2 linked regions of the Danio rerio genome follow. The protein of the gene in region 2 interacts with the protein of the main gene of each other region in a pairwise test. Links are inferred from orthologs where the notes say so. Each region holds a gene or a part of one and is shown on either strand. Other genes may lie near its edges. The genes, in order: cdkn2c and ahcyl1.

Evidence for each region.
Region 1: the proteins of ahcyl1 (region 2) and cdkn2c interact in binary tests that used the Homo sapiens proteins (3 or more experiments, as listed by UniProt). The two-hybrid records come from large-scale screens. The link is inferred for Danio rerio from reciprocal best matches to the Homo sapiens genes AHCYL1 and CDKN2C.

The regions. Positions count from the first base shown.
Region 1 is NC_133183.1:18,181,877-18,199,267, forward strand, and holds cdkn2c (cyclin-dependent kinase 4 inhibitor C), read left to right. Parts: upstream 1-5,796; 5' UTR 5,797-5,923; intron 5,924-6,297; 5' UTR 6,298-6,808; coding exon 6,809-6,940; intron 6,941-9,029; coding exon 9,030-9,410; 3' UTR 9,411-10,042; downstream 10,043-17,391. Other genes in the region: faf1 (FAS-associated factor 1), read right to left, coding at 2,698-2,766, 4,099-4,149. UniProt on the Homo sapiens protein: Interacts strongly with CDK6, weakly with CDK4. Inhibits cell growth and proliferation with a correlated dependence on endogenous retinoblastoma protein RB.
Region 2 is NC_133183.1:26,869,985-26,886,750, reverse strand, and holds part of ahcyl1 (S-adenosylhomocysteine hydrolase-like protein 1), read left to right. Parts: intron 1-1,395; coding exon 1,396-1,496; intron 1,497-2,981; coding exon 2,982-3,084; intron 3,085-3,181; coding exon 3,182-3,276; intron 3,277-4,410; coding exon 4,411-4,517; intron 4,518-5,484; coding exon 5,485-5,601; intron 5,602-5,738; coding exon 5,739-5,802; intron 5,803-6,894; coding exon 6,895-6,983; intron 6,984-7,878; coding exon 7,879-7,949; intron 7,950-10,787; coding exon 10,788-10,882; intron 10,883-11,144; coding exon 11,145-11,243; intron 11,244-13,532; coding exon 13,533-13,601; intron 13,602-13,768; coding exon 13,769-13,847; intron 13,848-13,925; coding exon 13,926-14,046; intron 14,047-16,693; coding exon 16,694-16,700; 3' UTR 16,701-16,766. UniProt on the Homo sapiens protein: Multifaceted cellular regulator which coordinates several essential cellular functions including regulation of epithelial HCO3(-) and fluid secretion, mRNA processing and DNA replication.

The sequences.
Region 1 (17,391 bases), about 8.7 Mb from region 2:
TTTTTCAGGACCGATTTGATCTGTCTAAATGATCTGTTTGCAATAGATAAGATGAAAGGCTATAAAAATATGTAAGTATCTGCAGACTAGACTGTAGCAGACATTACTGTCTGTTCAAACAACATTATCGATTGAAACAGACACCTAGATACATAAGCTCTGCCTGTTAGGAGCAACAAAGAAAACACTATTTGTTCACCAAGAGAGAAGCAGTTCATGAATAAGAAATCTTATATTAAAAAATAAAATAAATATGTTTAGATCTAGACTTAAAATTTGCCATTTAATTATGAGATCCATTAATTAACCATACATTTATTTTAAAAAAAAAAAGTTATAAATAAAAAATTTGATAGAAAAAATCTAATAAAGTTTAAAAATTTAATTCTCCTTATCAATCAACCAAAGAATGATCAATGCTGAAAACATGAAAACAATCCTGAAAATATGAAAACAATCTGAAAATATGGAAACAATGTGAAAATATGGCTGGATCTATCTGCTCTTGCGGATCTATCCTGGAGGCTCCATATACTGGACATTATTTGCTGGTAGCTAGCTCTCTGCAATTCTCAGATGGTTGCCCACTGAAGCGAAGCAGGACTGAGCCTGGTCAGTACCTGGATGCGAGAACACACTGAAAGCTAGGTTGCTGCTGGAAGTGGTGTTAGCAAGGCTAACAGGGGGTGCTCAACCTACAGTCTGTGTGAGTCCTAACGCCCCAGTATAGTGATGGGGACTCTATACTGCTCAGTGAGCGACGTTTTTGGATGAGACTTTAAACTGAGGTCCTGACTCTCTGTGCACACTGGCCTCTGTCCATCATGGCCTCCTAACATCCCCATATCATAATTGGCTTCATCACTTGGTCACCTCTCCACCAATTGGTGTACGGTCTGGTTCAATATAGCTGCCTTCGCATCATCCAGGTGCTTGCTGCACACTGTGGTGGATGAGGACAAGGGACAAGCATGCTTTAACATGGTTCAAGGCAACTGTACATAGTAGTGCGAGTACGCCCTGAGTGTCTAGAAAAGTGCTATATAAATGTAAGGAATTATTATTATTATTATTATTATTATTATTATAAATTTGGAATACACCACAGAAAAAATAAATGGTGCCAGTAAGAAAACTAAAATATTGGTTAAATATGACAGAGACTGTATCAGATATGTTTCAATCCTGATTTTGTACCTATTGTTGCAGTATTACTATTTTTATTTGATTTTACTTTTCATTTGATGGATCTTGGGCTTTGTTCAAAATCAAAAATGTTCAATAAAAATAATTTTTAAAAAATGCAGTTGAATGCAATTAAATGAAGAGAATATTTTAGGTGAATTATGCCTTGAAACCATAAATTATTTGCATAAAATTAAAAAATCCTAAATTGACTACTTTTTCCATTTAAGAAAACAAACACACACAAAAAACATATTTTAAAAGGTTTAAGGATGCAAAATGACAGAAAGAGATGTTTTTTTTTATCCAAATGCCACTTAAAAATAGGATTATTTGCAATTATTCAAAATTTAAAGTTTTTAATGAAAACCATGATTGAATGTAACTAAATATTAATGTCAGCACTGACCACAAAAAAAATTATGAGGTATGTGTTAGCTATGCGCTTAAATGTCAGCCTTGTGTTAAAATAACACTATAAAGCAGTGGTTTTCAACCCTGGTCATGGTGACCCAATGCTCTGCACATTTTGTATGTCACCCCTATTTAACACACCTGATTCAGATCATTGGCTCATGTGCAGAGAGCTCCATAAACTGAACAGTGTATCAGATAACAAAGACATGCAAAATGTGCAGAGCAGTTGGTCCCCAGGACCAGTATTGAAAACAACTGCTATAAAGAATGTTGCAAAATGTGCTTCAAATTGCAGAGATAAGATGCAGTTTGACCCTACTGTTTCCACTGTGGAAGGTTTAAAATGATATGTTTCTATGTTTTACAAATACAGAAAAAACTGAATTGATATATGACTTATAATATTATTAATATTGCAGAACAGTAAATAAAAGAATATTTGTTCTGACATCAGTTCGAAAATTCAAAATATATAAATAGGTCTAAAGAGAGTGCTCTAATAGTTGTAGTAAAATCTTAGGTAAACTTTTATAATAAGTAATGACAGCTATTTTTATTTGGGGTTGGATATTTATCATAAAGCATAAACATTGTTATTTAAATGTCAATCCTGCTATCCTGCGGTTATTGATAGTTTAATTCTGTTGTAATTTTGCTTGATTCATGACATAATATTAAATTGAATTCCATAAAAATGCTATTATTAATACAACTAGCCACAGAATAAAGTGCCAGATCTGTATCTAACAACAAATTCTTGATTTCTGCTAAGCGTACAGGCAAAATATTAATAAGGTATTGAATTACAAACATGACTAGTAATGTTTCATTGATGAGTAAATTCAGTAATGTGCTAGCTTATATATAGGAATGCTGCTAATACATCCACAGCACTGCGCCAGAATGTTCTGTGAACAATGGTCCCATTAAATAGTGTTTGCACTAAACACACTGGCTTTGTCTCCGATTCATCAACACAATCCACAAACAAACAATAAGCAGGAAACAAAACAAGCATGTTAAAAGGTTGGATGGCTTGAAATTCTTTTACCTAGGAGTCAGTCTTACAGATTTTACCAACAAATAGTGTCTTACCACCAAGTCCCAGTTGTTTAGTTCTAGAAGTGTGATCGCCTCAGCAATGTTGTCAATTCCGGTACATGCCTAAAATGATGAGTAATAAAAAACATCTTTAGAATACTGGCTTATTAATAATAACTGATAATGAAATTATATAATAACAGGACTTAGATACATTTCAGAGATTGATGTTGATTAAATATTATTTAATTAATACTGCAGGTATAACGATGGGTGGGTGGATGGATGGATGGATGGATGGATGGATGGATGGATGGATGGATGGATGGATGGATGGATGGATGGATGGATGGATGGATGGATGGATGGATGGATGGATGGATGGATGGATGGATGGATGGATGGATGGATGGATAGATAGATAGATAGATAGATAGATAGATAGATAGATAGATAGATAGATAGATAGATAGATATAGATAGATAGATAGATAGATAGAATGTTTATGATTGTACATTACACTACAAGATTTTGGGGTAACTGAACATGAAAAATATTTTGTTAATGGAAGTAAGAATGGATGGATGGAAGTTTATGAGAAAAGCATACATATAGTAGATTTTGGTCAATTCCTCCTTAAATATTTATTTTAGAGCTATTTCTGCTTCTATAAAATATTAGAATTCTAATTTAAATAACTGGACTTACATACATCTCAGAAAATGATAATAAAATATTTTTTGTTAAATTAGCAGGCATAACCATACTACATACAGAGATAGATGGACAGATAGATGGATAGGTAGATGGACTGATGGGTAGACGGATGGATGGATGGATGGATGGATGGATGGATGGATGGATGGATGGATGGATGAATTTATCATAAAAGCATACAGTATACAAAGGCAGCAATAGACTTGGGTCTACACCTCCTTAACTATTTCTTTACTCTAGAGCTATATCTGCTTCTATAATAAAATAACAATTTAACTTTAAACACACAATATGTCAGGAAGTTACAACTAAACTGTCAGGTCTTGACCCAAACCAACTGAAAACCATCCATGTGACAGGTAATGGCAGTGTACAAACAGAAAACCGTGCAGAGTCATCTGACAGCCTCTGGCCATTACATGGTCAACGCCAGATCAGGCTACAGATGACAGTATTTTATTTTTTCCATATCTGAATAAGCTGACCACATAAAAATGATATATTTCACGCGGTTTGCTGTTATTTTGCTTAATCATGTGCTGCCCAGACTTCGTGTTTGCTGAAAAACTCAAACAAAGCCACTGACAGCTGATCATCTCGAGACATGTCAACAAAAAGGAGTGACTTCAAAAGCCGTTGTCCGGTTAACACTCAGCAACCACATAAAAACGACTCACATCTACACATCCAGAGCTTGAGAAATCAGAGGTCATGGGTATTGATGTGAGAAAACCCACCTGAAAGTCGGCCAGGATCATTTCTCTGTCCATGTTGCTGTCGGAGGCCATTGCAGAGAGAGGCTAACGAATCATGTAAAAAGCCCCACAATATCAACCATCAATTTCAAAAAAGCAGCTCGGGACACGGCAGGTCAGCGTGCGGTAAATAACTAAGTGCGAATGCTGCTCTTCGGGGCCGTGTTGTCAGTGTTTGTCGGCTTTCAGGTTTTCTGTTATCGTCACTTTGCTGTTCTAGATCGCGTTCAAATTCATCTTACGGCTGCCGTAAAGAAGTGCTGCAAACTGTCGCGGAGGTGGCGCCACACAAACATCGTTGGAAAAGGACTGCGTAGGGCCGCCGTTGAGTTTGAATGGGCTGATATTTGCAAGTGATTGGTTTGGCTAGCATAAGCCATTTTAAAATAGAAAGCTTTTAAGATATATGTTTTTCCGTGTTACATAGTCATCCGAATTGTTGTTTTAGCTGTAACAAGTTCTGTTTACACTGTGCAACCACCTAAAATAACTTTTTTTATTTTGTAAACAAGAAGATAGGCAAGACCAAACTCTTAATAAATCACTTGTTTAGACTAAATTTGTATGTACATTCTGATGAACGAACAGTTTTCATTGGTGTAATCTATGCCAGGGATATAAATGTGTGCTTGCTGGTGTTCTCAATCACACCATTGCTGGTTTAGATTGGTTTGGGGCCGTTTTAAATGTGTCAGAGCATCTTAAGCAAAGGCATCCTAAAGTTCAATGCAATTAAATTACCTAAACGTTATTTTATTGTAAACATACAAAAGAAAAACAACAAGATATCAACAACCTTGTCTACAAATAATACAACAAAAATAAATGCATAATAACCATTTCAGTGTGACCCATGAACATTTCCTGCTTGTTATCAAACTATTTCATAACTGTAACAAGAGGCAATTCAATCATGACTACATGTTAAAACATCTATCACAAAATTATCTATCAATATGTGGCTATAGAAATTAAAATATATTGGGACCATTGTTTCGTTTACATCTCTCAAAATGGTCCATACACCAGCTTAGTTATAAGCAGTCCTGCCTGGTTTTTAGAGGGGCTTGAAGGGATTTAGTACATCAGGCCATCGTTTCCAGCCAAACTGCTTTCAGGAGGTCAGCTAGACAATCCTATGCCAGAAACATCGACTACAATTTAAATTACTAAAGCTTTTGGGGTAATTGAACATAAATAAACTGTGAATTTAACAGCCTTGCATTAAAAATAGCAACAGATAAATCATAATCTGCTGTGGTTGTTTCAAAAATGAGAGAGAAAACTAAAACACCAGAAAAACTCTATAGCTTCAGCTGATTTTAAAATCATGTATTTAATAATAAGTTTAATAGTGTGTGGTGAATGGATAAACACGCCATAATGTAAATATAGGCAAACTACGCGGAGGACTATATAACCCATTGTGCTGTTACAGTGTTTTCTTCACATGAGGAGCTTGAATTAATTCAACTTCAAAAGAAGAAACTTATATTGGTAACACCAACGTCGTAAAGGCTTTATTACACGGGAAAGGCGAATGCGTATTCAAAACTGAAAGCAGAAAGTGCATCTCTCTTTCGGTCAGGAGGATCAGCCTCTCCCTGAGTCCCAGCAGCATTACCGTTGAGTCCCAGCGGCTCCGCCTCTATATGGGCGGAAGTGTCGGTCCTTTATTTCAAAAAGGAGTGATGTCAAACAGCAGCAGACTCTCTGACAAACTCAGCTGTCTTATAAACAGCGTATTGAACTCCCGAGAGCCATCAGAAGAGGATAAACCGAAGCCAGCGATGTAACCATTCTGCAGGTACTGGATACAATGTTTCATTTCAAATGATTCGACCAGCGGCTGAACCTCCACAGAAGTGTAAAGCACCTCTAATGAATCACTACGGCGGAACATTTGTAGATATTCAAGCCTAGAGTTTTGAAATGCGAATACCGAAACACTGTTAGTAATGTTTTGCACGCGTGCCAGTTCGCTACACCGGACTAGTATCAGTACGAAGCCTTTCGTGGTGCCAGCGGTCTTTGATGTGCACATCAATGAAGACTCTTGACGTTTCATGTTCAAAATTGGCGGGAAGCTCTCAAAAAAACTCACAACACGTCGTTGCAAATTGATTGGATGCTTAATATATTTTTTCTCAGCGAAGTAACAGGCTCCTTTCTCTGTTTCAGAGGTCGTGGAAGAAGCTCGGAATGACTACATCTGCGAATACCACGAACGCATCGCAGCTCTTCAGCCCATTGCACCTGCATATTATCAGAGGACATATGAAAGGGAAGTTTGCCTCTCGGATCCGATCATTTTCATGTGACTACTGCAAATCTGTTTGAATGCGAGAGATCGAGTATCTGGACTAAGACCACAGTACATTCATGCCATTTTTGGGCACGGGCGTCGATCGCAGAAAAGAGGATGTTTCTTTTGTTTAATTGTTCTTGATCGTTCTTATTTTGATTAGAGATGGCTCCGCATCTCTGTTTTCTCCACTGGTTCCGATGGCTTCAGTAGGACGATGTTAGCCTAATGTGGGTGGACCTTGGCGCATCTCCAACGGATATTTTTTAGGGGGGCTGGAGGATCGGACTATTTACTACTGCTTTGTAGTGCTTTTTCCATATCTCCACCAGCGGACATTTTTATTAACAAAATCAGAGATATTCTACTTTCCTTTGTCAGGATATAATGGCCGAGGACACTGCTTTAGACAGGCTGAGCACTGCAGCTGCGATTGGGGATCTGATGGAAGTTGAGCAGACACTTCAAAGCAACGTGAACGTTAACGAGAAGAATAAATATGGCAGGACAGCACTGCAGGTTAGACGCACATCTCCACCTACAACCTTCATATAAAAAAACACGATGTTTATAATTCATAGTGCATCAGCTTCAGGAAAACAGCTTGTTCTTTTCCTTCTTCCAGTCACTATAGCAGTGGCCTGGTTGATTTACTTCTGACCAAACCGGTGGCTTTTTGAAAAAATCAAAAGGTTTACCTGAGAACCAACTACGCACCTGTTACAAATTATTTCTATTTTTATATGCCAACAAATGTGCGTCACTTGTTCTCCAATAGCCTATTTATTGTTGAAACCGAAAAGTGTTTTATCACCGTATAGATCAGCTCACGAGCTACACGAAACCTGACATGTTTGGCAGCTTTTTATAATTATTTCAGATTGTAGATGTAACAGAAAACTTTGCATGTATTTTAATGATCATGCAGTTCCAGTTTTATAAGGCCCGAAATGATTGTAGATGCTTATGTTTGTTATTTCCTTTTATATGACATATAACCCTCTAGAGGAACAAAATAAAATCGAATCCCAAAAGCCTGTTTTTAAGTTTTAAAAATGTTATTTTAGTTTAAAATATAATATTTTGTATCTCCGAATGTTACACCTGACACAGTATTGCTGCTAAATTTCGGTCAAGTTGAAATATTGTGAGATTACTCATGTGCTTGTGTTAAAATCTCACAATATATATTTTTAAGATTCAGAACGAGAGCTTATCCGAACACTGGGTAATCCCCATACTCGATGTTGTAGCATATAGCAATTTCTGCTTATGCGTATGTGACAAATTTATAAGTGGAGGTCACATCAAATATTCGCAAACGTTGTGTTATCAACATTACGATCTTAGAATAAAAAATATGAACGAATAAGGAAAATTTTGAGTTTTATGTAATGTGACTGGTCACTACCTGTAAGGTTTTGATTATTTTATCAGCTTTTTTTAAATTTAGTAGGTCATTTTGATAGACAAATATATTTATAAATAAATACACACCTTCTATTTGGTTTCTAAATATGAGATAATCAAAAATAATGCATAAAAATTATCTAAAAACAGAAATTTAAAGTCATTTAAAATGGAGCCTTATAGCCTTTTTAAAATACTTATGTGATGTAGTAAACTTCCTGGTAGTATTTCCATAAAATCAATTCATAGTGATACTTTTTTATCTTTAGAGATCAGTTAAAATTGAAGAGATCGATTTGTGCTCGATTTCTGATATAGTTTGCCATACACACTTTTATTTCACAGCCTTCAAGTCGTACTTATTCTCTCAAACAAGCAATTTCCCTTTTTACAATCCATCAACTTACAAGAAAACAAAAGTAAAATCTCTTTTGAGAGCTGCACATTCTTTCTCAGAACTGTCATAAAGATATGTATAAGCAGAATGCTGAAAAACTTGTTAAACACTTTCCTTAATGCATGTATATATTTTCATTCTAAATAATGTTTTTTATTAATAATACACGTAAAGCTTGTAAATAAAAAAATTACTTTCTTTTTTGTCCATAAGTGGAAATCTATCTTTGGCTTCACCACACAACCACATCAGCGTTCACATTACACAAATCACAGGAAAAACAGGCAACACAAATACATTCAACGTACACATGTACACAAATGTATACATTCAACAAAAAATTAAGTGTGCATTACACTGAAAAAAAAATATTCATTGAATTTACCCTAACCCTAACTATATTTTAAAGGTAAGTGGTTGCAAACTAATTGTATGGGCTTAATAAAAAATACCAATGTTTAATGTAATGTTTGTTTAAATTCAGACCATATAAGTTGTTTGCAACCACATTGTAAAAAAAACTATACGATCAATTAGTCCTGACAGCACATGTTTTAGGTCATGTTAACTTATTAGACTAAGTTAATCATGTTCTAACTTAATTTTATAATTTATAAGTTTTAAGTTTAACATAATACAAGTTCGGGTTAATTTGATTCAGCTTATAAATTAAGGCAACCAGGATTTTTTTTACAGTGCACTTACCTTAATAAAAAATATAAGTCAAATGAATAATTTTTAATTGTAAGCTGATTAATATTTAAAGACCCTAAAACGTGTTCTCTTTGTGTTGCATCTCAGGTGATGAAACTTGGCTGCCCGAGCATCGCGGAGACCCTTTTACAAGCTGGCGCAGACCCAAACGTGCGCGACCCCATACTAGGACTGACCGTCATCCACGATGCAGCGCGTGACGGATATCTGGACACCCTGCACGTGCTCGCGCAGAACGGTGCTGATGTCAATCTCCTAGACAACGACGGCAACCTGCCTCTGCATCTGGCGGCGCGCGAAGGACACTTGGATGTCGTGCAGTTTCTCGTAACGCATTGCGTGACGCAGCCTTTTCTGGCTAACGCAAAAGGGTACACACCTCGTGACCTGGCGTTTATGCACCAAAAACACAGAACTGTGGAGTGGTTGGAGAGCATTGCGTCTTTACAATCCAGCCAGAGATTGTGACTGTGGGCCTGCGTGTAGCAGAGGTAGCGGATCAATGCTGAATTAGCGCTTTATTGCAATTGCAGAATATTCAGCCAACTACCTCTTATTGCAGTGTAAAATATTGGGCTCAGGGGCTTGTTTGTTTGTTTGTTTGTTTGTTTTTGTGGGTGAAGAATAATTAACATTTCCGATGACTTATGGCTCTTAACTTTTTTTTTTGTCAACGGGATATTTTTCAGGTCACCTCCATTTTAGATTTGTATATAGCATACGTTTCTCTAACTTTCGAGCTCATGTTTGTTCTATGGGTGCTGTTTCATAACAAACACAAAAAATTAAATGTAGATTAATTGAGATTGTCAAAAACAAAGTAATTGCACTATATAAAATCAGCACCCTGCCATGAGTTTTGCTGTGTTTAGTTTTGTCACAGTCAACTTGCACTTTTGCTTGTAATTAATGCCTTTTTAACTGTTGTTTAACTGTGAAGGATTGTCTTTTTATCGCTTTTGAAAATATTAAAATCTTGCCAAATAACCAAAGACAACTGTTGAAACGGTTTCAGTATGTGTTTAACTCTGGCCTTGTGTCACTGGAATTCGGGTGGGCCTAAAACACCTTTATGTGACTATTAAAATATTTGAATTTGATTATGGGTAAGTGTTTTTATGTTGTCTAATGTTTAAATGAGAAAAATACTTTGACGTTAGCGGTGGCGGTTGTATATTTTTAGTGTGTATTTGTGTACCAACACGAGAAGTCTGCCGTTCCCTCTGTAAACACAAAGAGGATACAGCTAACAATAATAAGCTTTTTACACAGGTAGAAAAGAGAAACTAATTTAATATAAACTAATTCTCATTGTTCGGTGATTTACATGAGGAGAATAAGTTCATACCTTTAAAAAAGTGGGTCAATTTGGCTACCTTGTATTTCTTGTACATCCGTGTTTCTTAAAAAGTTAGAAAAAAATGATAAGTTTTTAAAACAATTTTTTAAATAAAATCTATTTTATATAGGCCTAGTTTATAAAGATATTAGTGGGGTTTAAAACTGTCTTGGGATTGTCAAAAAAGCATTAGCCTATACGATTTTTTTCTTAATAATGTTTAAGTATGCTAAATTGATGTAGTTTGGCAAAATGTGTAATTGATATTATTATTAGCTATTATTTTTAAATGATTTGTTATTATGTTGTTTAATCAATATTTAATTTAATTTAAATTTTTAATTTAATATAAAATCATTTTATATTAACACTAAAAAACACTACAAGCAACAAAACATGAATATTTGCTGATATTTTGTACATTTACATATTTGTCAGGTAGCCTATATAAAGCGGGCCTCAAATTCTCTACTCTAAAAATCCTGATATTTTTAATCAAACATATATTTGACATCGAGTGATAGCTTTGAAAAATAAGTTACTTACAATTAAGATGCAGGAACGCTGTTTATTATATTTAGAGTCCATTTCAAACAGGGCTTTTTCCTCCAAACTATATGAATGCAAAGTTTGCATATTCCGGAACTTGATTTACATTTATTTTACAACCGATTATTAAATCCTTTTCATATTCTCGGCTATCCTCATATCTAACTGTTACTGACCGCTATCGAACCAAACATAATAGAAACGCATGTAGCCTAAAGTGAAATCCAAATATAAATATGCGTCTTATGTGGGCACGTTATTGCTGTGCTTTCTCTCGCTGTGATATAAAACAAATGTTTTGACATGTGGTGTGTGGCAGTCATTCATTTCAAAACCAGGAGTACGAAATCGTACGTAAGTGCTATATTATGATCATGGATATATATGTATAAATAATGCGCTTTTATTTAAGGGGTCTGCGCCATATGGGCTGATCTTTAAGATGGCACCATATAAAATGAGATAGAGAATGATAAAATGGTGACTCTCTCTGAGAGTTTTCATGGTCGAGCAGAAGCAGCAGATCCGTTAGTTTAGTGGGAGGAAACGCCAGCGCGCAATGCCAGGATTTTCAAATTTAGGCGCTTTCGATGACAACAAGCACTTACGATTCTTTTTTAAAACTCGCTCTTCCTCTCTTTCTGCTAAAGAAAACCACTTGTAGGATGTTTTTGCCACTCTAATACAGTTTTTATGATTTTTAGGATGCCATCATGCCAGATATCTTCTTCCTGGTTGCGCGCCTGCGGATAATCTTTTTTGAAACGCGCGACGCCTGATCACGCGTTATATTTTTAATCTAATTATTGAAATTTTATGGTCAATATTCGGCTCTCAAGACGGGTTTATATCGACTGTCAGCAACAAATGAAGGTAAATAAATCGACGCCTAAATGTGCAGAATCTGCAAACGTGTTTGGGCATGTCTGTGGTCAGTTCAGCATGTATGTGTAGTAAACTAACAAACAAAAACAATATTTATGAAAAGTAATGCACCTAGGTTTGTCAAAACACTATTTTATAATCCATATGTAGCATGCAAAAACAAAAGAGTATGTGAATTATTAAAAGCCAAAAATATCTATCATAATGTCGAGAATATACGTTTTCTGCAAATATTTGCATCCTGTCTACATTGCTTCCACGAACTGTAGCATATCTATATAAGCATAAAACATCTCTCCATAAGCTGATAGTTAACTATTAAATGAGAGCAACTCCTTTAGTGGTCTATACCCAGGTGAAATACAAATTTTAAAGTAAATATTATTATACCATATCATAGTAAGGTAAATTAATTAATATGTTGTGGTAATTCTACAGTTGTGGTTAAATACAATGGTAATAACAATATATAAATATGGTATTATAATAAAGTAAATTAATGTATATGTTGTGGTAATTCTAGTTGCTGTGGTTAAATACAATGGTAATAACAATATATATAAATATGGTATTTAGGCAAGGGACTATAACCGTTTTCAAGGTATAGAGCGGTTTGAAAACGTCAATTTTTTGCAAAACCATTGCTGAGGTATGTATAAGATTTTTTATTTACATATTTTTGGGGCAACAGTATCTCCAGCAGAAAAAGATATTCAAAGATGCCATTTTAAGTTGTAAAAAAATAAAATCTGTTTTTGACATAAATGAAGACAGCAGAAGTCAATTTTCAATTAGAATTATTTAGCCTGACATGTTTGCTGTTCCAAAATATTTTAAATGTTTTTTTTAAATAAATTATATTGTGTTTAAAAAAAGTATTTGTTTTTTACCCAGACATTTAAAAATAACATATTTTAGAGCAGTAATCACAATACCATGATATTTTTATCCAAGGTTATACCGTCAAAATCTTATACCACCCCATGCCTAATGGTATTATAGTAAGGTAAATTAATTTATATGTTGTGGTAATTCTACAGTTGTGGTTAAATACAATGGTAATAACAATATATATGTTATGATAGTAAGGTAAATTAACTCATATGTTGTGGTAATTCTACAGTTGTTGTTAAATACAATGGTAATAACAATATATAAATATGGTATTATAGTAAGGTAAATTAATTTATATGTTGTGGTAAATCTACAGTTGCTGTGGTACAGTAATAACTATAGTAGTAATAATAATATATAAATATGGTATTATAGTACGATAAATTAATATGTTGTGATAATTATACAGTTGTGGTTAAATACAATGGCAACAACAATATATAAATATTTTAATAACAATAATTTTGTAATATAAACCCAAATACGCCACGCTCTCTACAGCTATAAGGTATATTATGCTACAATACACCACCATTTAGAGTAGTAAAACCCACAGTATGTATTAGTTTATCAGTTTACTATACTTGTAATAAATATTATAATATATATACACTTTATTATTGTTATTTATTATTATTATTATGCAATAACAGTATAATATGTACTACAGTATCTCTTTATGTGGGTAATTGTTTAAATCGGAAATAGTGATTGATGCTGGATAGTTGTTTTATATGTTGGAGAACATTTTAAGAGAGGCCTTACAGTTGTAAAAATAACGTTAGGGTTATTTCTGTTTTGCTGATCATTGTGATATTGCTCTTGAAGCCCATGATAGGGCACATAAGAAAAACAAGATTTCAAATTTTGACTGAAGCTATGCTACTTCAAGTTCAGTTCAATTTTACCCGAACGGAGACACAAGGGACCATCATGTGGCAGACCTTTCATCTGCATTTCACAAACTGTTTGCCCGGGGCCGGTGTCTGATTTTGTGCAGTGTCTGTTTAATTGCTCAACAGAAATGTCCACATCTTTAAACTCATATCAACCTTTGTTTGTCATTCTATTGATTCAGAATGCATTTATTTCAGTGTGATTACTCATATATATGTTTACTTATGTCATGTTTGTCACTTTTTCACAACAGTTTTTAAATTCAGTGTATGCAAATAATTGTAAGAGGAATAAAACAGCCGACTTGCCTTGGTTTATGTTTGAATGTTAATGCAGAAGACTGAATAAAACACCCATTGCGTTACAGCCAATGTGTCTGATTTTGTGGGCAATAGAACAAGTTTGCTGCTTTGTAATTTATGAGTGTTACAAGAGCTCGCATGAGCAGCTGCCAGGTGGAGTGCCACTTCAAAACACTGTTTTCCCACAGAAGGGGTGATACAATATGTCCAAAAGCCCTGTGGTGGTGAGATGTTGGCCCGTTGACAAGGACACTTTTATCAGACATTCGGGAGGGCCTGCTGTGCATTTTGCCTGTGCGGTTCATTTTTGGTTGCAATGACTGACAGCTAAAAAACTCAGTTCAAGTGCAGCAGCTTCCTTCCACATTCTCACAGGCGTCAAGCAGACAAAGTTCGCAGATTGATGGATGAATGGAGAGAGAGATAGAAAGATGCATGGATGGATATATGTGTGGATGGGTAGATGGATGACAAGAATGAATGAATGGATTAATGGATGGATGGGATGATGTATTGATAGGAGGAAGAGGTAAGAGGGAGAGATGAATATACAGATGCATGAATGGATAATGAGTGGCAGAAATGCTTGATGGAAGCATATATGGATGATGGATGGATGGATGGATGAATGAATACATGGTTGGACGGATTGATGGATGAATGATGGATGTGTAGATGGGTGGATAGATAAAGGTTGATGGGTGGAAAGATGATGGTTGATGGGTGGTGGGATAACGGATGGATGGATGAATCGATGGATGGATCAAAGGACGGATTGATGGATGAAACAATAGGTTGGTTGGTTGGATGGATGTATGGGTGAATGAATGATGTATGGATGGATGGGTGAATGGCAGATGAATGATGTATGGATGGATGGGTGAATTGCAGATGAGTGAATAGAAGGATGGATAGATGGCAGATGGATGGATGGATGTGGATGGAATGATAGATGGATGTACGGATGATGATAAATGGATGGAGGGAAGCAGAGTGGATCGATGAATAGATGCCTGAATGAATGATGGGTGAACAGAAAGACGGATGGATGCATGAATGGATAGATGGATGGATGGATGAAAAATGGAAAGATATATGGATGATGGATAAATGGATGGATGGACAGATGAATGGATGATGAATAGATAAAAGAATTATGGGTGAATGACAGATGGATAAATGATATATAGATGAATAATTATGGATGGATAGATAGACAGATAGACAGATAGATAGATAGATAGATAGATAGATAGATAGATAGATAGATAGATAGATAGATAGATAGATAGATAGATAGATAGATAGATAGATAGATAGATAGATAGATAGATGTAAATATAAATGGAATGGCGGATGGATGGATGAAAAGATAGATGGATGACAGATGAATGGATTGATATAAAGATGGATGGATGACAGATCGATGGATAGATATATATGGATGGAATGATGTATGACAGGTGAATCGAAAGATGGGTGGATGCATGAATGGATAGATGGATGGATGAAAGATGAAAAGATATATGAATGATAGATTGATGGATAGATATGAATGGATAGATGGACAGATAGATGAATGATACATAGATAGAAAAAAGAATGATGGATGGATGACAAATTGATAAATTATGTATAGATTAATTTATATGGAGAGATGGATGATAGATGTACTGATTGATAAAGAAATGGGTGGATGGCAGATAAATAGATAGAAAGATGGATAGAAGGATACATGTATATGTGGATGTAATGGGAGATGGATGGATATATATATATATATATATATATATATATATATATATATATATATATATATATATATATATATATATATATGGAATGGTGGATAGATGGGTGATGGAAAGAATGATAAATAAATGTATGATGGTGAATGATGATGGATACATAAATAGGTGGGTGATCGATGCATGAATGAAACGAAGGATGAATGAATGGATGGATGGATGGATGGATGGATGACAGATGAATGGATATATATAGATGGAATGGTGGATAGATGGGTGATGGAAAGATTGATGAATTAATGTATGATGGTGAACGAGGGTGGATAGATAAATAGGTGGGTGATCGATGCATGGATAAATCAAAGGATGAATAAATGGATGGATGGATAGATAGAATAAAATAAATATATAATGGATGGACAGATGGGTGTGTTCGGTTAGATAGAAAGATAAATATTGGAATGGATGGATGGTTAATGGATGATAGAAGGACGAATATATGGATAGATGGGGATGAATTTATAAATGTAATGATGTTAAATTTGATGAATATATGGGGTGACAGTGAATGGGTGAGTGGCTGGAAGAAGAGATCAAATAAAAAGCCTTGATCATGTGAAGCAGCAGAGGGGATCTACAGTATCAGCTCACGCGAGCTCAACCGTTTCCAACTCTGCTGACAGTTGACATGTAAGAAGGCCATGGCCAACTAACATGCAAAATATCTCCCAATGATGATTAGGTTACACATGAAGCTTGCTGGATGAAAGTGTTGATAATGTTAGCTAAGTTTAGTCTGACTAGCAGGTGAATCCAGGGCCATTATGCAAACTATATTGCCTGAAAGTAGATATTAAACAAATATGTATTTGCATATATAACTTATGTGTGTATGTAAATATAGTAATAAGAGTATTACCACAGGGACTTTCAGGTTACGTCAGGTTGCCACATTTATATGAGTTATAAAATCAATAATTATGATGTGTTTTCAAAAATTCCTTAGTATGTGTGAGTGATTTCTATATATATATATATATATATATATATATATATATATATATATATATATATATATATATATATATATATATATAATTTTTATGGGCGACACGGTGGAGCAGTGGGTAGCGCTGTCGCCTCACTGCAAGAAATTCGCTGGTTCAAGCCTCGGCTGGGTCAGTTGGCATTTCTGTGTGGAGTTTGCATGTTCTCCTCGTGTTAGTGTGGGTTTCCTCCGGGTGCTCAGGTTTCCCCCACAAGCCTAAAGACATGCGTATAGGTGAATTGAGTAAGCTAAAATTGTCTGTAGTGTATGTGTGTGAATGAGTGTGTATGGCTATGTAAAACATGTGCTGGATAAGTTGACGGTTCATTCTGCTGTGGCAATCCCAGATTAATAAAAGGCACTAAGCCAAAAAGAAAATGAATGAATGAACATTATTTTTTATTTTAAGCTATTAAAGTGAGAGTTTACCCAAAAATAATGATTCTTTTATCATTTAATCATCCTATAATCATTCAAAACCTTTATGATCATTTTTATTCTTTGATATTTTAAAGAAAGCTGAAAAATTTGTAACCATTGACTTACATACAATTTCTTTTTCTACCAAAGAAGTCAATAGTTACAGGTTTTCAGCTTTCTTTGAACTATATTTTTTCGTGTTTAACAGCAAAAAACAAAGTTTTGGAACCACATAATGTGAGCAAATATAAATGATAATCTTTTTTTTTGGGGGGGGGGGGGGGGGGGGGGGGGTTGGGGGGTTGGAAAACTATCTCTTTAACAGTGTAGAGGGTTTTCACATCAAAATGTTTACATGGTATTTAAT
Region 2 (16,766 bases):
GCGGATTTACATGAAAAGAGGATGCGCTAGAGAAGTTTGTGATCATCAATAAACATACACAGCAGCCTCTGGTGAATTTGCTAAAATAAAAAACTGTGAGCAGAAGTACCTCCAGTTACGTATTTTGCTGTCTCCAGAAATGTAGAACTGGGTACGTATACACCTGAGTTGTAGAAACCGATTGACATCTGTTGTGGGAAATAAATATTTAATATTTTGTATAATAACATGAACTCCGGTTTGGAACAAGTGGAAGCAGAGTAAATGATGACTAAAAAAATGGGTGAATAATTTTCACCAGGGTAAGGAAATGATGACTCATTTCTCTCTATTTCTGATTGTCTGATAAATATTCTGTTACACAATATTTTTAGAGAAGCACACGCTAGAGTGGTTCCAGGCCAGTCTTCACTGCATTACTGTTTCATACAGTGAATGATTTCAGCCTACAACTGTCAAATATTAAATCAAACAAAACAGTAGACTTTGGATGAGATGAGTAAGCAGCTAATCCTACGCACACAAACTGTTTGAGGACAAAAACCTGACAAATTTCTTGAAATACAACATCTGAACTGTGACTTTAGGTGTGGTAACCGTAGTATAAGCAGATTAATTGCTACGAGTTCATGGAATTATTACAGAAGAATACTGTACATTACTCTCAGAACACTGTAAAAAATATCTCTGTAAATTAGCAGTTTTGTGTATTTGAATTGCATTATGGAGTCTTGATCTTTCTTCCAACAACTTTTAACCTTTAAAAGTTTGAAAAGGTGACTTTCATCAACATTTTTAATAGTTGAAAGTGATATTTTGTCTGGGTTGGTGTTGAATATTAAGGTACAAAAACCGTAAAATAAACTGCCAGTTCATTTCCTGTTTTTTACAGATCTATTTCTCTCTCTCTATATATATAATCTCTTATTTCAAACTACTAAAATGCTAATAAAAGTCACTTTGTTAAACTGTAGAGTTGAATTTTCAACATCAAAAGTCGACAGAGCAGTGATCAAGGTCCCATAAAGCAGTGATCAAGGTCCCAGTTGCTCCAGGTTTGGTTTCTGTGCCACCTTTGCTGTGTAAAGATGCCTTAATAATTCAATCAATTAGTCCTTACTTCACACTACTACTTTAAATTTAGAGAATGAATCAGAAAAATGCAGAAAAAAATGTCAAAATGTAACATTTACACAGAGGAATGAAAAGTTCAACTGAGCTGAACAGAATAATAACCATTTTAACCAGTTTTAACCATTCCTTATTCCAGGCATATTCAGATTTTTAGTCCTCATTTTCCAGGGCTTGGTTTGACCTCTGATTCTCTAGATTGTAGCTGTGTTAATAAAGCTGATCTCAGGCCAGCTGGTCTGACCTCAGAACTGTTGTCCACAGATATGTCTGCGCTGATTTCCCTGCGGAAGAGAGCTCAGGGAGAGAAACCCCTCGCCGGGGCCAAAGTGGCCGGATGCACACACATCACTGCTCAGACTGCTGTAGGTTCTGCTCAGGGTCACACGATTCAAACACACACTTCTTCCGGAAAGAGATTTTGACAAAACATTTACATTTTTGGTCAGAGTGGAACATTTTTGGCGACATGAGTTTAAATCTAGGCTTTGGGAACTTTCCTGATCCTTTTCACCAGCTTCTTTATTTTGCTTTCTATCTATTATATACAGTCATATTTAGTAAACAAGAAAATAACAGAGTGAAATATATTCATTTACCACAGTACACAAGTGATTGTTTTAATGTTTTTAGTACAAGCAGGAGGAAACTATAAATAAAATAACTTTTTATTTATTTAAACAATGGATTAGTAAACGAATTTTCGTTTCATTTCTATTAAATAAAACTACACTAACAGTTTGTTTAGGGAAAGATAAATCTGTGTCGGCCAATACTATAAACTACAGTAGTCAAAATTTGAAGTGGATCCTCACCAGCACCCATTCATGTCCTAGGACAATTTTGAAAAATGTTTTGGATTCACTTCGAATGATGACTACTATATAGTGTCCATTCACTAAAAGTAAAACTAAAAGTAAATGTTTATGAAATAAGTAAACAACAAATGTTTTTCGATTGACATTACCTAAAAGTAAAATGAATAAAATAAAGAATCAACAAACAACTAAAATAAAACAGGGTAGAATTTATTAATAAAATTACTAAAACTTAACATGGAGCATATTTTTAAAAATGCCGAAAAAAATTGCAGATGAAGTCGCAAAGGGAAAAAAAATCACACATACAGTAAAGTGCTCAGCATATGAGTATACCCCATTTTGAAAATGAATATTTTCATCCATTTTTTAGTGTATTTTTGGTGCATTTAACCAAAACAGATTTATTAAACAGATATATTTATTAAAATAATCTTTTAGTAAACATATCCAAACATTTAGAAATTGAAAGATAATGCAATTAAATTCAAGCTAAATATTGCACAAAAAAATGACAACCTACAAAATTTCAACTAAATTTTTCAATTTTTTTGCTTTTCTTGATTTTAATATTTAGTATTTTTCTCAAACATATAAATTTGGTTGTGCTAGTTTTTGGACCGTAATTGTAAGTTATTTTGTTAGATAAGCTCCAGATTTGGCTTCGGTACTGACTAATCTAATGTATATGCACAAATATAATATTGTATAGCTTCCTAATTAAAAATATGAATTTAAAAGAGCGATTTGTGAGGGGTGTACTTATATATGCTGAGCACTTTAAGTCAGACTGGTTTGTAATTAGTTTGGTCTTAGCAAATTTATTTAAAGAAAAACTCAAAAAGCTTTAATGTTAAAAATGTTATTTATTATTCTAATTAATGCACACTTTGCAAATGATTTGCTTGCAGTTTCATTAAACATACAATCGTATAATCAAATCAAAACCAAAGTGCTTACAATGTAAATTTGCACACATTGTTGTTTGTGAGTGTTTTAATGTGTTTGATTTGCTATGCTGGTTTCTTTCAGGTGCTGATCGAGACTCTAGTGGCCCTGGGTGCTCAGTGTCGCTGGACTGCCTGTAACATTTACTCCACCCAGAATGAAGTGGCAGCAGCTTTGGCGGAGAGTGGTAAACTCCCTCTAAACAAATAATACTGCTGTCTGAACTAACAGTTCCAGTCTGGAGATTATGGACTCACTTTTTTTTTGCTGTCTTTCCTGTGAAGGTGTGTCAGTTTTTGCCTGGAAGGGAGAATCGGAAGACGACTTCTGGTGGTGCATCGACCGCTGTGTCAACATGGATGGCTGGCAGGCAAACATGGTATAAAGTTCTGCCCTTTATAGGATAGTTCAGCCTAAATTCAAATTCACCCACCATTTACTGATCCTCAAGTGGTTCCAAACCTTCTTGTGTTTGTTTTATTTCTGATATTTGAAGAATGTCCTTGCCTTTGATATCCCTATAGTTGAAAAAAATAGTAAACACTTGTAATAAGAAGTAGAATGCTGACAAAAGAGTGTGGATCCAAACGCAGGTTTATTAAGAATAGTCAGGCAAGCAATGGTCGTGGTCGATAAACAGGCAGATGGTCAGTACAGGCAGGCAGCAGACAACATAAACAAAAAAACGAGGATCAAGGCAAGGCGTCGTAATGTTCACAATACTGATTAACAAGACTCAGCAACTAATGTGTGTGTCTGTGCTGCTTTTAAAGTCCATGTCATCAGTTCTGAACACCTTCGGTTGTGTGTGTTAGCAATCAGCTAGAATTTGGAACCGGTGCGTGTGTGTGTGTGTAGAGCATGACTGGGCCTTGTAGTCCATATAATGGCAGATTTGTAGTTATATGCGCTCTGTGTGTTTACCAGTGATCTGCCAGGATTAGATCACTGGTGATTGTGACAATACTGTTAAAATAAAAGGCTGATGCTATCCTCAATTAGTTCCAAACCTTCTTTGTGTGTGTTGTTTTGTTGTTGTTGACCGCTAAAGAAGATATTTTGAAGAATGTTATAGCCATTGATATCTACAGTAGAAAAAAAAAAAAATATGATTAAAATCAATTGCTGATGCTTTCCAACATTTTTCAAAGTATCTTCTTTTGTGTTTAACAGATGAAATAAACTCAAACAGATTTTGAACAAGTGGAGGGTGAGGAAGTGATGGCAGAAAAGCACAAACAATCAATGTTGTTGGCAGTTATTTTAGTAACTTCACTTATCATTTAGCCTTTTTGCGAATAACATTTCACTATTTGTAATATGATGTGTAGCCAAAATGCTAATGTTGTTGCTGTTTATGCTGCTTGTTATCATATCCACCACTATTTACACTATTTAACACAATGATTCTATTACTGTTTATAAACCGCTGTCAAATCAGTATTTACTGTTCAAAACTTTTAGCATGGTGTTTGTGTTTGCAGATGAGTAATAAAGATACTTTCTTTTACAGATTCTAGATGACGGAGGGGATTTGACCCACTGGGTGTATAAGAAATATCCCAGTGTCTTTAAAAAAGTTCGTGGAATCGTGGAGGAGAGTGTTACTGGTGTACACAGGTACGGGAGGGCTGTACTAAAGTCATAGTAAATGCATAAAGAAAATGCATAAACAGGAGCAAATGCTATTTCTTGAATGCATTTTAAGTCATTTTGGGCAAAAGCTTTTATCAAATGCATAAACAATTCAAGAAAATACATAAAATTAACCAAAAAAAACCTATATCGAAATTTTATTTAAAGTCACTTTGGATAAAGGAATATGCGAAATATATAAATATTCAATTAGATATATTTAATTTATTTTTTATTTAATTTTATTTTATTTCATTCTAGACTTAGTCCCTTATTTATTAGGAATTGCCACAGCAGAATTAACCCCCACACTATTTCAGCATATGTTTTACACATTTTATTTTGTTTTTAAACAATAATTTCATTTATTTATTTTAATTTAATTATAATTAAATTTAATTAAAATTTTAATTTTAATTTTCATTCATTCTTTCATTTTCCTTCATTTCCTTTAAGGTTTAGTCAGTTATTTTTCAGGAGTTGCCACAGTAGAATAAACCACCAACTATTCTGGCATATTAATAATTCATTCAATCATCCATTCATCCATTCATCCATTCGTTCGTTCATTCATTCATTCATTCATTCATTCATTCATTCATTCATTCATTCATTCATTTATTCAGTAATTTTCTTTTCGGCTCAGTCCTTTTAATAATCTGGGGTCATCTTATCCAGGATATGTTTTCGCTGTGGATGCCCTTTCAGCTGCAACCCATCACTCGAAAACACCCATACACTCTCATTCACTCACACACACTGCGGCCAATTTTAGTTTACCAAATTCACCCACAGAACATGGTTTTTGGACTTGTAAGGGAAACCGGAGCACCCGGAGGAAACCCACACGAACACAGGGAGAACATGCAAACTCCAAACAGAAATGCCAACTGACTTTTACAAACATTCATGTTTTATTTATTTATTTGTCTCTTTTTATTGATTCTGTCAGGCTGTATCAACTCTCCAAAGCTGGCAAGCTTTGCGTCCCTGCCATGAATGTCAATGATTCTGTCACCAAGCAGAAGTTTGATAATCTGTACTGCTGCAGGGAGTCCATCCTCGACGGGTAAAGACATCTGCAATGCTGATATATGCTTTTCTGACTTTTCTTTCAACACATCTTCCTCTAAACCTCTAACCAAGTTTGACTAAAACTTGTGTAAGAAAAAATATCATCTTAGCTGTCTTCCTCTTTCTCCTCAGTCTGAAGAGAACCACAGATGTGATGTTTGGTGGGAAACAGGTGGTGGTTTGCGGTTATGGAGAGGTCAGTACAAACATTTGGCAAAAATAAAATAGGGCGGTCGGATAATCTACATTATGCAAATAAAATGCAAGACACTGCAGGTGAAATGGGCAAAATCAAAAAAATTCCATAAATTAACCAATTTTATTTCTGTTGCAATCACCAGCGATCTAATCCTGGAAGATCCCTGGTAAACATACAGATCACATAGAACTACATATTCGTCATTATATGGACTACAAGATCCTGTCATGCACTGCACACACACCCCAGTTCCTAATTCTGGCTGATTTGTAGTCTGTTAGCGATCTGCACAGGTTGGATCGCTGGTGATTGTGTCAACTTCTGTACTTCCCCAGCTGATTCATTACATTTTTATAACAAGTTTTATTAAGTTTAAGTGCTTAAATGTGCACTTGTTATATAACAATGGTTTATTTAAATAAATGTGTCCATATATGCATACATTTCTAGCTTAAATTTTTAACATTAAATGATGTCCAGTTCAAAACTCAGGTTTAATGTTTTTGACAAATGAGAGTCTAAGGTTATAGGATTTTAGTAATCTTTCTCTATCAATCCTTTCACTCATGTCTTTGTCGAATGAAAGGTTATAACAATCAGATTTTAAAAAATGCAAAAAATATTTTAGTCCATGCTAGTTAATGGTACAACTGTCAGTAACTAATGGATTTTTATCTTGTAGAATAAAATGTTCTAATAATCAGGTAGTTTATGTATAAACATATCCATCTGTAAAAACATTTGGAGTACTGGATACAGATGATTACAATTGTGAAGTTTGTTGTGTGTACTGCAAATTGCGCTGAAGTTGAGATTGATGGCTCAGTGGAGGAGAATAAAATAATTCTGAGAAAAAGTCTTTACGGAAATATATTGTAATTGACATCCACAGACACATTTTTAAGTGTGATAAAAAAAATTTTAATCACATATTTTGAGTGTTTTCTTTAAATTAGACAAAAAAAAAACCTGTAGTGTCTGTACTGTAGCTGTAATTTCTCAAAACAGACAGACATTATTTTCTAAAAGCACAGAGAATGGAATGACGTTTCTGTGTTTGGCTGTGTTTCTGTGTTGACCGTGGTATAGGTGGGGAAAGGTTGTTGTTCAGCTCTGAAAGCACTTGGAGCAATAGTGTGTGTGACGGAGATCGATCCGATCTGTGCTCTTCAAGCCTGGTAAGACCAATAGACCCTCAAGAATGAGTGAAATCTACATTTAAACACAAGTGCGGTGTTATTGAAATTAGTAGTCATGCGATATTTTTTTTTCTGAAGGTCAATATTGGAAAGCAGGGTGGCTGATATTTAGCCAATATAATTTATTTTAATTAATAATTAAATACAAAAGGTACACAATTTTAAATAATTAAAAAATGCAGATGGCAAGCTCAATAGTGTCATTTGCCTTTATTACTAATTAATGCAATCATAATTATGTGTACACATTTTAAATACTTTGTTTAAACAGTTAATCTAATCTAATAATCTATAGCCTATTATTTTCTCTTTGTATTCGAAACAACTCCAAGTCAATTCAATTCAATTCTAGTTTATTTGTATGGTGCTTTTCAGAATAATTATTGTTTCAAAGCAGCTTTACAAAAGGTGCACATTATTCCATTACAATCTAATTCGGTAAAGTTAAGGTTATTAGTTACTAGTTATTAGTTAGTTGCAAATATGTTCTTGTTTTATACAACAGTTTAACAAACAAGACAGTAATACTGCATGAGTTACATTTCAGACACAGTCTCAAACAAATCTGAAGCGAACATTTGTGTCTCACAGCAACATTGCAAGGGTTTGTTCCTAAATGAAATTAGGAATGAATAATTTGAGTCAGTGATTCAGTGATAAAGGTGATAATTATTAGTTAATATACTTTATTCAGTTTACCCTGTAACACATAACAATTTTGTATCAAATAACTTGTGTAAACTGGTCTCTCTTAGTATCTACCACAAATAATATCAGCATATCAGCAAACCAAATAGGAACTCAAAATCTTCTTTGCACAGCAATATCTAAACACATCTGCTAATTTTTATTTGTTTTTTTATTTCCTTTATAGTATGGACGGCTTTAGAGTGGTGAAGCTGAATGAAGTGGTTCGTCAAATGGACATGGTCATCACCTGCACGGGTACGTCTGCTTGCTGTTGGCTAGCTTCCACTTTCACATCCATTTCCTCTATTAAATGCAGCTCTTATCAGCACAAACGATTCCTCCCTGAGCTGCTGTCAAACGGTTGGGCCTTTGACAGCTACGACTGATCTCTTAAGTGGTCTGGGGAAAAATCATGTTTGCCAAGTTGTGAGTCTCTGCTAGTCATAAAGAGAGAACTGAACTCCTGCTTCTTTAATTGGTTGAAGGGTAAAACAGCATTTTGGTAACATTAAGTGAGTTAACATGATTGACAAACAGGACTTCTTCTCTATTTTTTATTATATTATACTATAATAAACCATTTATTAATTGTTATTGTCACTGTCAGCATTTAACAATACATTATTCAAATAAAAAATGCTATGTTCATTTATTTTTAACATAAACAAAAAATGTACAGTTATTTATTCATTCATTAATTTTCTTTTCGGCTTAGTCCCTTTATTTATCTGGGGCCACCACAGCGGAATGAACCGCCAACTTATTCAGCACATTTTTACGCAGCGGATGCCCTTCCAGCCGCAACCCATCACTGGGAAAATTAATAGTTATATTTGTATTAATTAATGGATTAATATATAATTTAAAGCTTTATTAATTCCTTTGGGGCAATTTATTCGGACATAGTGGTGCCTCACATAACAAGATTGACACCTTTAACACAATAAACACCAACACTTAACATCAAGTACACAAACAAAAACTGAAAAAAAAAAAAAAAATATATATATATATATATATATATAAATAATAATTTATAATAAAAAAGAAGGATACAAGGATATTTTGAATATCTTAAAAAATATTTTAAATTCTATAAGTTAATCATTATATAATAAGCCACAAGTCAAAATATTATCATAATTATCATACATTTAAACAAATAAATAATAAATAAAGTAAAAAAAAAAACATCAAATAATCATTGCTCATAATAAGTGGACTTTGGTAACATTTGAACTCTTCTCAGGGTGTCTGTGGGGTCTTAAAATGTCCTAAATCTTAGCAACTAAATTTTAGGCCTTAAAAAGTCTTAAATCTACTGAAATGTTGTGTTGTAGGTCTTAACAGGTCTTAATTTTCTTTTGTTCATTTATGTTTGTTCACCAACAATCAATCTCAATAAAACTTTTTTTTATTTATCATTTTATTTGTTACTTTTATTTTTTAATTATTTTCCTCACCATAAAATTTGCTTAAAAGTTATCCCTATATTTACAGCTGAGGATACTGACCTGGCCTTTATTTTTATTTTTAAATTGTAATTTTTATTATTAATGTATGATTTAATGTATAAAATTAAAATAATTTTTTTGATAGGGCAAGTGAAAATCTTTTCCAACTGGCTTATTCGAAAAAAAAATTCCTTAGCATTTAGCCCTGTAAAAGTGAAAAAACTCAATCATAATGGTCTTTAAAATGTCTTTAAAAGCCTTACAACCTGCTGAAACTCTTTTCACACCAGTGTTTTTTTTTTTTTAAAGTTGCCATCCACTGTCAACATTTTTGATGATTTGTTTCTAAATTTGACAAATATTTTCTACTATGAATATGTTCATATTATATATATATATAAACATAAAGAACCGAGCCTGTTTTAACTTTGTAAATGTGCGTGTGTGTGTGTGTGTGTGTGTGTGTGTAAAACAAAAACAAGACAAGTACTGGACATTCTAAACACTGTAAAAAAATGATGCAAAATTTGCAATAACACTGGCAATTTGGTTGCCAGTAATATTGTAAAAGTAACTAAATAAGTAATGTGTATTTATATAGTGCATTTATTGTGTATGGCCATACACCCAAAGCGCAATACAATCATGGGTGGAGGGTCTCTACCACACTACTAGTGTGCAGCCTCCACTTGGATGATGCGACGGCAGCCACAGGACATTGACGCTAGTGCAATCCCCACTTACCAGCCATAGGTGGAATGGAGAGACAGTGATAGAGCCAATTTGGTGGATGGGGATGATTGGGAGGCCAGTAAGAGCCAATGCAAGGAACTTGGCCAGGACACCAGGGTTACACTCTTTACGAAAAATGCCATGGGATTTTTAATGATCACAGAGCCTTGGTTAACATCTCATCCGAAAGACGGCACCCACTGACAGTAAATTGCCCCCTTTACTTTCCTGGGGCATTAGGACACATACAGACCGCAGGTTGAGCGCCCCCTGCTGGCCTCACTAACACAACTTCCAACAACAACTTAGCTTTTCCATGTGGTCTCCCATCCAGGTACTGACCAAGCTCAGCCCTGCATAGCTTCAGTGAGTAACCAGTCTTGGGCTGCAGAGTGATATGCCTGTACAATTTACAAGTATACTGTAAATTACCAAAACAATTGTGCTGCAGCTTTACAGCACAATTTTAATGATTAATTTACAGTGTGCTTGAAAATATTAGTTTCACTGGCAATTTTTACAGTATTACTGGCATAAATCACAAGCGCACTGTAAATAATCAATCAGAACCGGGCTGTAGTTTTACATCACAATTGTAATAGTTTATTTACAGTGCACTTGTACATTTCACAGTATTACTTGCATTCAAAATTGCCAGTACTTGTAAATTTTACAGCAATTTTTTTTACAGTGTAGGTCTTGCCTTACCATAGTACACCTAGAATACAGATGCTGTCTGTCAATTGACAAGATAACTTTCAAATATAAACGTTCACAGTTTCGCGGGTGAGATGTGTTCCATACATCCACAGAATGACAATTTAGGGGATCCACTAAGATAAAATCAGTATTATTACTCACAGATAATGTATATCAAGGTTATATGAAGAATTGTTTGTTTCTACAGGGAACAAAAATGTGGTGACGAGGGAGCACTTGGACAGAATGAAGAATGGCTGTATCGTGTGTAACATGGGCCATTCCAACACTGAGATCGATGTGGTGAGCATTTCTCAGCTCTGTAAAAACATAGTTTGGTTTATTCATAATGAGGCTCCATTTGCTGTGGCTGTAGCGGGCAAATACTATACCAATGTGAATGTTGCCGTCAACAGCTGTAGGTCCTCTCTGAGCAGCAGGGTCACTTAATCAACCCAAAATCCTCTTAGCTGCATGTTTGCCACAACAGAGTGAACTGAATGAGTGTGTGTGTGTTGGGTATAGTGGTGCGAGTTTTAAGTGTGTGTATTTATGTATGTTTCAGGCAAGTCTGCGGACTCCAGAGCTCACCTGGGAGAGAGTCCGCTCACAGGTTGATCACGTCATCTGGCCTGATGGGAAACGAGTCATTTTACTGGCAGAGGTCTGTACTTGTTGTCTTTTTTCATAAATAAGTGCCAGTCGGAAAGGTTGTTTTATGTTGTGTTGGAAAAATGAGAACTCAATCCAGGATACTCATTACAAGCAGAATTATCTATTGAGACGTGTTGGTTGTTCTGCAGTCAAACACCATCTTCAAGAAATAAATGAGCCTAACAAAAGTCTGAAACAAGTCTAGATGAGTCTGACATGGACAGAGTTGTTCTGTCTGTTATATTGTTTAGAGGATGGGGCAGTAGCTAAAGGTGGAGATGGCTAACACAGCATGCAAATGAAGTAGATACCGTTTCAATCAGAATTAATAAACTGTAACATTTTATTTTCTTTTTTAAATATTTCCCAAATAATGTTTAAAAGATTCAGAAAATTTTCACAATTTGTCTGATAATATTTTTTCTTCTGGAAAAAGTCTTATTTGTTTTATTTCAGCTAGAATAAAAGCAGTTTTTATTTTTTTTTAAAATATATTTTTTAAAATTACCCTAACCTGCCTAGTTAACCTAGTTAAGCCTTTAAATGTCACTTTAAGCTGTATAGAAGTGTCTTGAAAAATATCTAGTCAAATCTTATTTACTTACATCATGACAAAGATAAAAGAAATCAGTTATTAGAAATGAGTTATTAAAACTATTATGGTTAAAAATGTGTTGAAAAAATCTTCTCTCTGTTAAACTGAAATTGGGGGAAAAATGGGGGGAAATAATTCAGGGAGTTTAATAATTCTGACTGCAACTGTAGGTGAAAGAACCTGCCGAGACACTGACCACACAAGTTTATCAACGAAAGAGCTTCTTTCACCTGAATGGATCCACAAAGACAAAAGTCATAGTCATTGAGACCCAGCCCATAGCTTTTGCAGCACTTTGGTCAGCCAGTGCTCTGGAAGCAAAGGGTTTAATGGCACTTACACCATGTCTGCTAGAGTTTTGAATGAAATTAGATAATAAAAAAACCAAAGAATTTAACTTTTCAGTTATTTATACATCACTGTTAATTTGAAACTAGATTATATAAATAGCTATTTCCACAGTTGCATACAGTAGCAGTCAGAAGTTTAGAAACATTTACTTCCCACAAAACAATTTTTTCTGACCATTTAGTGCTAGGGTTGTCCAAACTCAGTCCTGAAGGGCCGGTGTCCTGCAAAGTTTAGTTCCAACTCCAATTCACCTGGGCTAGCTAATCAAGCTCTAACTAGGCTTTCTAGAAACTTTCATGCAGCTGTGTTGAGGCAAGTTTGAACTAAAATCTGCAGGACACCAGCCCTCCATTACCGAGTTTGGATACCCCTGATTTAGTTACTCTCGGGTGTTCTAACCCTTTAGGAATATCTTTTATGAATATATTTTTATGAACGTGGAAAATCTGTAACAACCATTGACAAACATACCAGGAAAAAATATACTACGCATGTCAATGGCTTCTCGTCCTCAGCATTTTTCAAGATGTCTTCTTTTTTGTTCAATAGAAGAAACTCAAACGGGTGACTATTTGATTCATGACTGAAGTTCTGAAATTTCTAAATTCTGAAAACCCTGTCTTGTCACCACAGAAATATATTTTATTTTTAAAAAGTATTTGAAATTTTATTTTTAATTAATTTTATAAATAATTTGAGATAATAATATTTTTCTTGATGCTTTTTCAACTTAAGTTTTGGCTTTAAACATTTTTTTCTGATAAATATTTATTTGTACAAACTGCTGTTTTTAGTCATCTTCAGATATCATGTTTTTGCTGTTCATTAAAGACTACAATTGCAAAAACATGATTTATATACACACACACACACACATATATATATATATATATATATATATATATATATATATATATACAGTATATATATATATATATATATATATATATATATATATATATATATATATATATATATATATATATATATATATATACATACAACATTATTCAAAAACATTATTAGTCTGTCATTTTAGTCTATCATTTTCACAATTTCTGGATTATTAAAAATCTGACTTTCCACACAGGTATTTGCCATCAAATCTTTTTTTTAATTTATTTATTTATTTTTTCACTAATTTCATATTTTCTATGAAAAATGCTTGTCACAACGTATGATATGTACTATGCCATATACCATGACATATATTTTGGTCCACAGAATTTTCCCAAAGCCCCAGTTTTCTCTACTCAATCTGTGAATGTGCCCACCATGATAAATTTCTTTCCTCTATATGTGATTTTCTGCTGGATCACAGTCAATCTCAGTCATTTGTGTTGTGTTTTTCAGGGCCGACTCCTGAACCTGAGCTGCTCAACAGTCCCCTCATTTGTGCTATCAATCACAGCCACAACCCAGGTAATTTAACCTGCCGCCGCTTTGGGTTTTAGCTGCGTCTGTACCGCTGACATTTTATCCATTTATGCCAGAGCTCCTAAGTGCTCCTGCACAGCTGTATGACTATTACGGCTGATTTAACATCTCTAATCGCAGGCTGTTGTGCTCTTTTTTTGTATTAATCTTAGGCTTTGGCCCTGATAGAGCTGTATAATGCACCAGAAGGTCGCTATAAACAGGACGTCTACTTGCTGCCCAAGAAAATGGGTAAGATTATCTGAATTTGTCTCCACCAACAGCTTCAGTACTTTGTGCATTAACTGTGATAAATTGTGTGTTCTTCAGATGAATATGTGGCCAGCTTGCACCTACCCAACTTTGATGCTCATCTTACAGAGCTGTCTGATGAACAGGCCAAATATATGGGCCTCAATAAGAATGGACCCTTTAAACCGAATTACTACAGGTACAACCCCCCCCCCCATATTTCTGTTTAACGGAGAAGGTTAACTGGGCTTGTTAGGGTAATTACGCAAGTTGTTGTATAATAATAGCTTGTTCTGTAGTCTATCAAAAAATGTAGCTGAAGGGGCTAATAATTTTAAACCTACATTTTTTTTAAGTAAAAACTGCTTTTATTCTAGCCTCAATAAAACAAATCGAAAAAAAAAAACTAAAAAAATTATCAGACATACTGTAAAAATGTCCTTGCTCTGTTAAACATTATTTGGGAAATATTTAAAAAAATAAAAAAAAATAAAAAAGGGGCTAATAATTCTGACTTCAACTGTAGTTTTACTACAGTTTAAGCTTTTTTTCTTTTTGTTTAATACAAAAACAGTACAAAGGAAATACACTGGCATAAACATAGTAGCTCCAGCATTAAATCAGAAAACAAAAATAAATGAATTAAAGTGAATAAACAACAAACAAATGGGAGTATTTGTTAATTAAAGCAATCATAATGTTCAAATATAATTATCAGAGTACGATCAGTTGTTTCAAAAAATCATTGGCATAGCACTAATCAGTTCTGAGGAAATTCACAAAAGGTTGCCATACAGTTTGAAATTGGTGTTGAGATTTTGGTTCCGAGGAGTGTATCCTCTCAAGCCAAATGACTTGATACAATTCAACCATCCACTCTTTTTAAAACATGTAGGGTTAGAAGTTTTTCAGTTTAAAAGTTTTTTCACAAGAGTTAGGCCTATCAAAAGGAGATGTTGCTAGGACTTTGGAAAAGTGTCTATTGTCTCAGAATATCCAAGAATTGCAAGACAATGGTCTGGCTTAACCTTCTTTTGAAAAACTTTGGGAAAAAAAAAAATCTAAAATATATTTCCAGAAGGCGAGGCAGTGGCGCAGTAGGTAGTGCTGTCACCTCACTGTAAGAAGGTCGCTGGTTTGAACCTCGGCTAAGTTGGCATTTCTGTGTGGAGTTTGCATGTTCTCCCTGCCTTCTCCGGGTGCTCCGGTTTCCCTCACAGTCCAAAGACATGTGGTACAGGTGAATTGGGTAAGCTAAATTGTCCGTAGCGTATGTGTATGAGTGTGTGTGTGGATGTTTCCCCAACATGGGTTGCGGCTGGAAGGGCATCCGCTGCGTAAAAACTTGCTGGATAAGTTGGCGGTTCATTCCGCTGCGGCGACCCCAGATTAATAAAGGGACTAAGCCGACAAGAAAATGAATGAATGAATATTTCCAGAAATTAAAGAGTTTATTGGTCAATATGTGTTAATATGTGGGATAAACAACCAACTTCTATTTTACATACATAATTGTTTTAATAACTAATTTCTTTTGTCTTTGCCATGACGATGTGACATTATTTTACTATTTATTTTTATTAGTATTCAGCCTAAAGTGCCATTTAAAGGCTTAACTGGGTTAATTAGGGTAATTAGGCAAGTCATTAAAGAACAGTGGTTTGTTCTTTACCTAGTTGAAAAAAATATTTCTTAAATTAGCTAATAATATTGACCTTAAGAATTGTTTTTAACAAAATTAAAAAGTGCTTTTATTCTAGCCAAACTAAAATTAAATAAGAAATAAGACTTTCTCCAGAAAAAAAAGACAGGAAATACTGTGAAAAATTTCCTTGCTCTGTAAAACAATTCAATTTTTTTTTTATATTTCAGAAGAGGGTTAATAATTTTACCTTCAACTATGTCTAAAATATGTAAAATATTATAAAGATGGTTCAAAATATTGCAAAAATTGACACTTTTTTTCAATTGTTGGAATTATAATATATATATATATATATATATATAAGAAAGACTATACAAGCACTTTAACATAACAATATTCTGTACGATATTGTGCAAAGGGGCTTTTTAAGGTTGAAGAAAACAAGTTGGTGGTACATTCACAAGTAAACATTCTTTTCCTTACTGTGTTCTTGTAAGATGAAGTTTAAGTCTGGTGCATACGGAGAGAGGAGTGTTCCTACAGGTGGTTTGTCAAGCCCACTCACCTGTGGGAAGTGCACTTAAGGAATGCACAATGTTTTTTAGAGACATAAACTGTTTTAATAGAGATTTGTAACTGTTTATTATCACTTACTGCCCTCTGCTGGTTTTCAATAAATCGACTATTTATAATTAGAGCTTTTCAGCATAACATTTACTTTTGTTTAAAAGCTTGGGGTTGGTAAGATTTTTATGTTAGCATTTTACATTTTGTGTGTGTGCACAAAATTTGATTTGATATAAAATACAGGAAAACACTTTAAATATTATAATTTAATCACTGTTTTCTCTATTAAAATATTTCAAAATGTAATATTTTACTTCAGGCTTCAGTGCCATGTGATCCTTTAGAAATCATTATTATTTCTTATTATTAATGTTGAGTAATGACTGCTGCTTTTTTGTGTAGAAACTGATATTTTTCTTCAATATTAATGAATAAATAAAAAAACAACAACAGCATTTATTTGATATCAGAGTATTTGTAGCATTATCCATGTCTTTATTGTAACCATGGATCAATTTAATACATCTCTGAATAAAACCTATCATTTCCTAATCCTACTGACCCCAAGTAATCAACAACAACAACAACATACCAAACTGAACGAAAATAACATTTCCTGTTGTTCTGCTTACAGATATTAGTCTGACTGGATGGATTCAGCCTTCATCAAAGATGGAGAGATCTGTAATAACCAGTGAAGCAAGAGA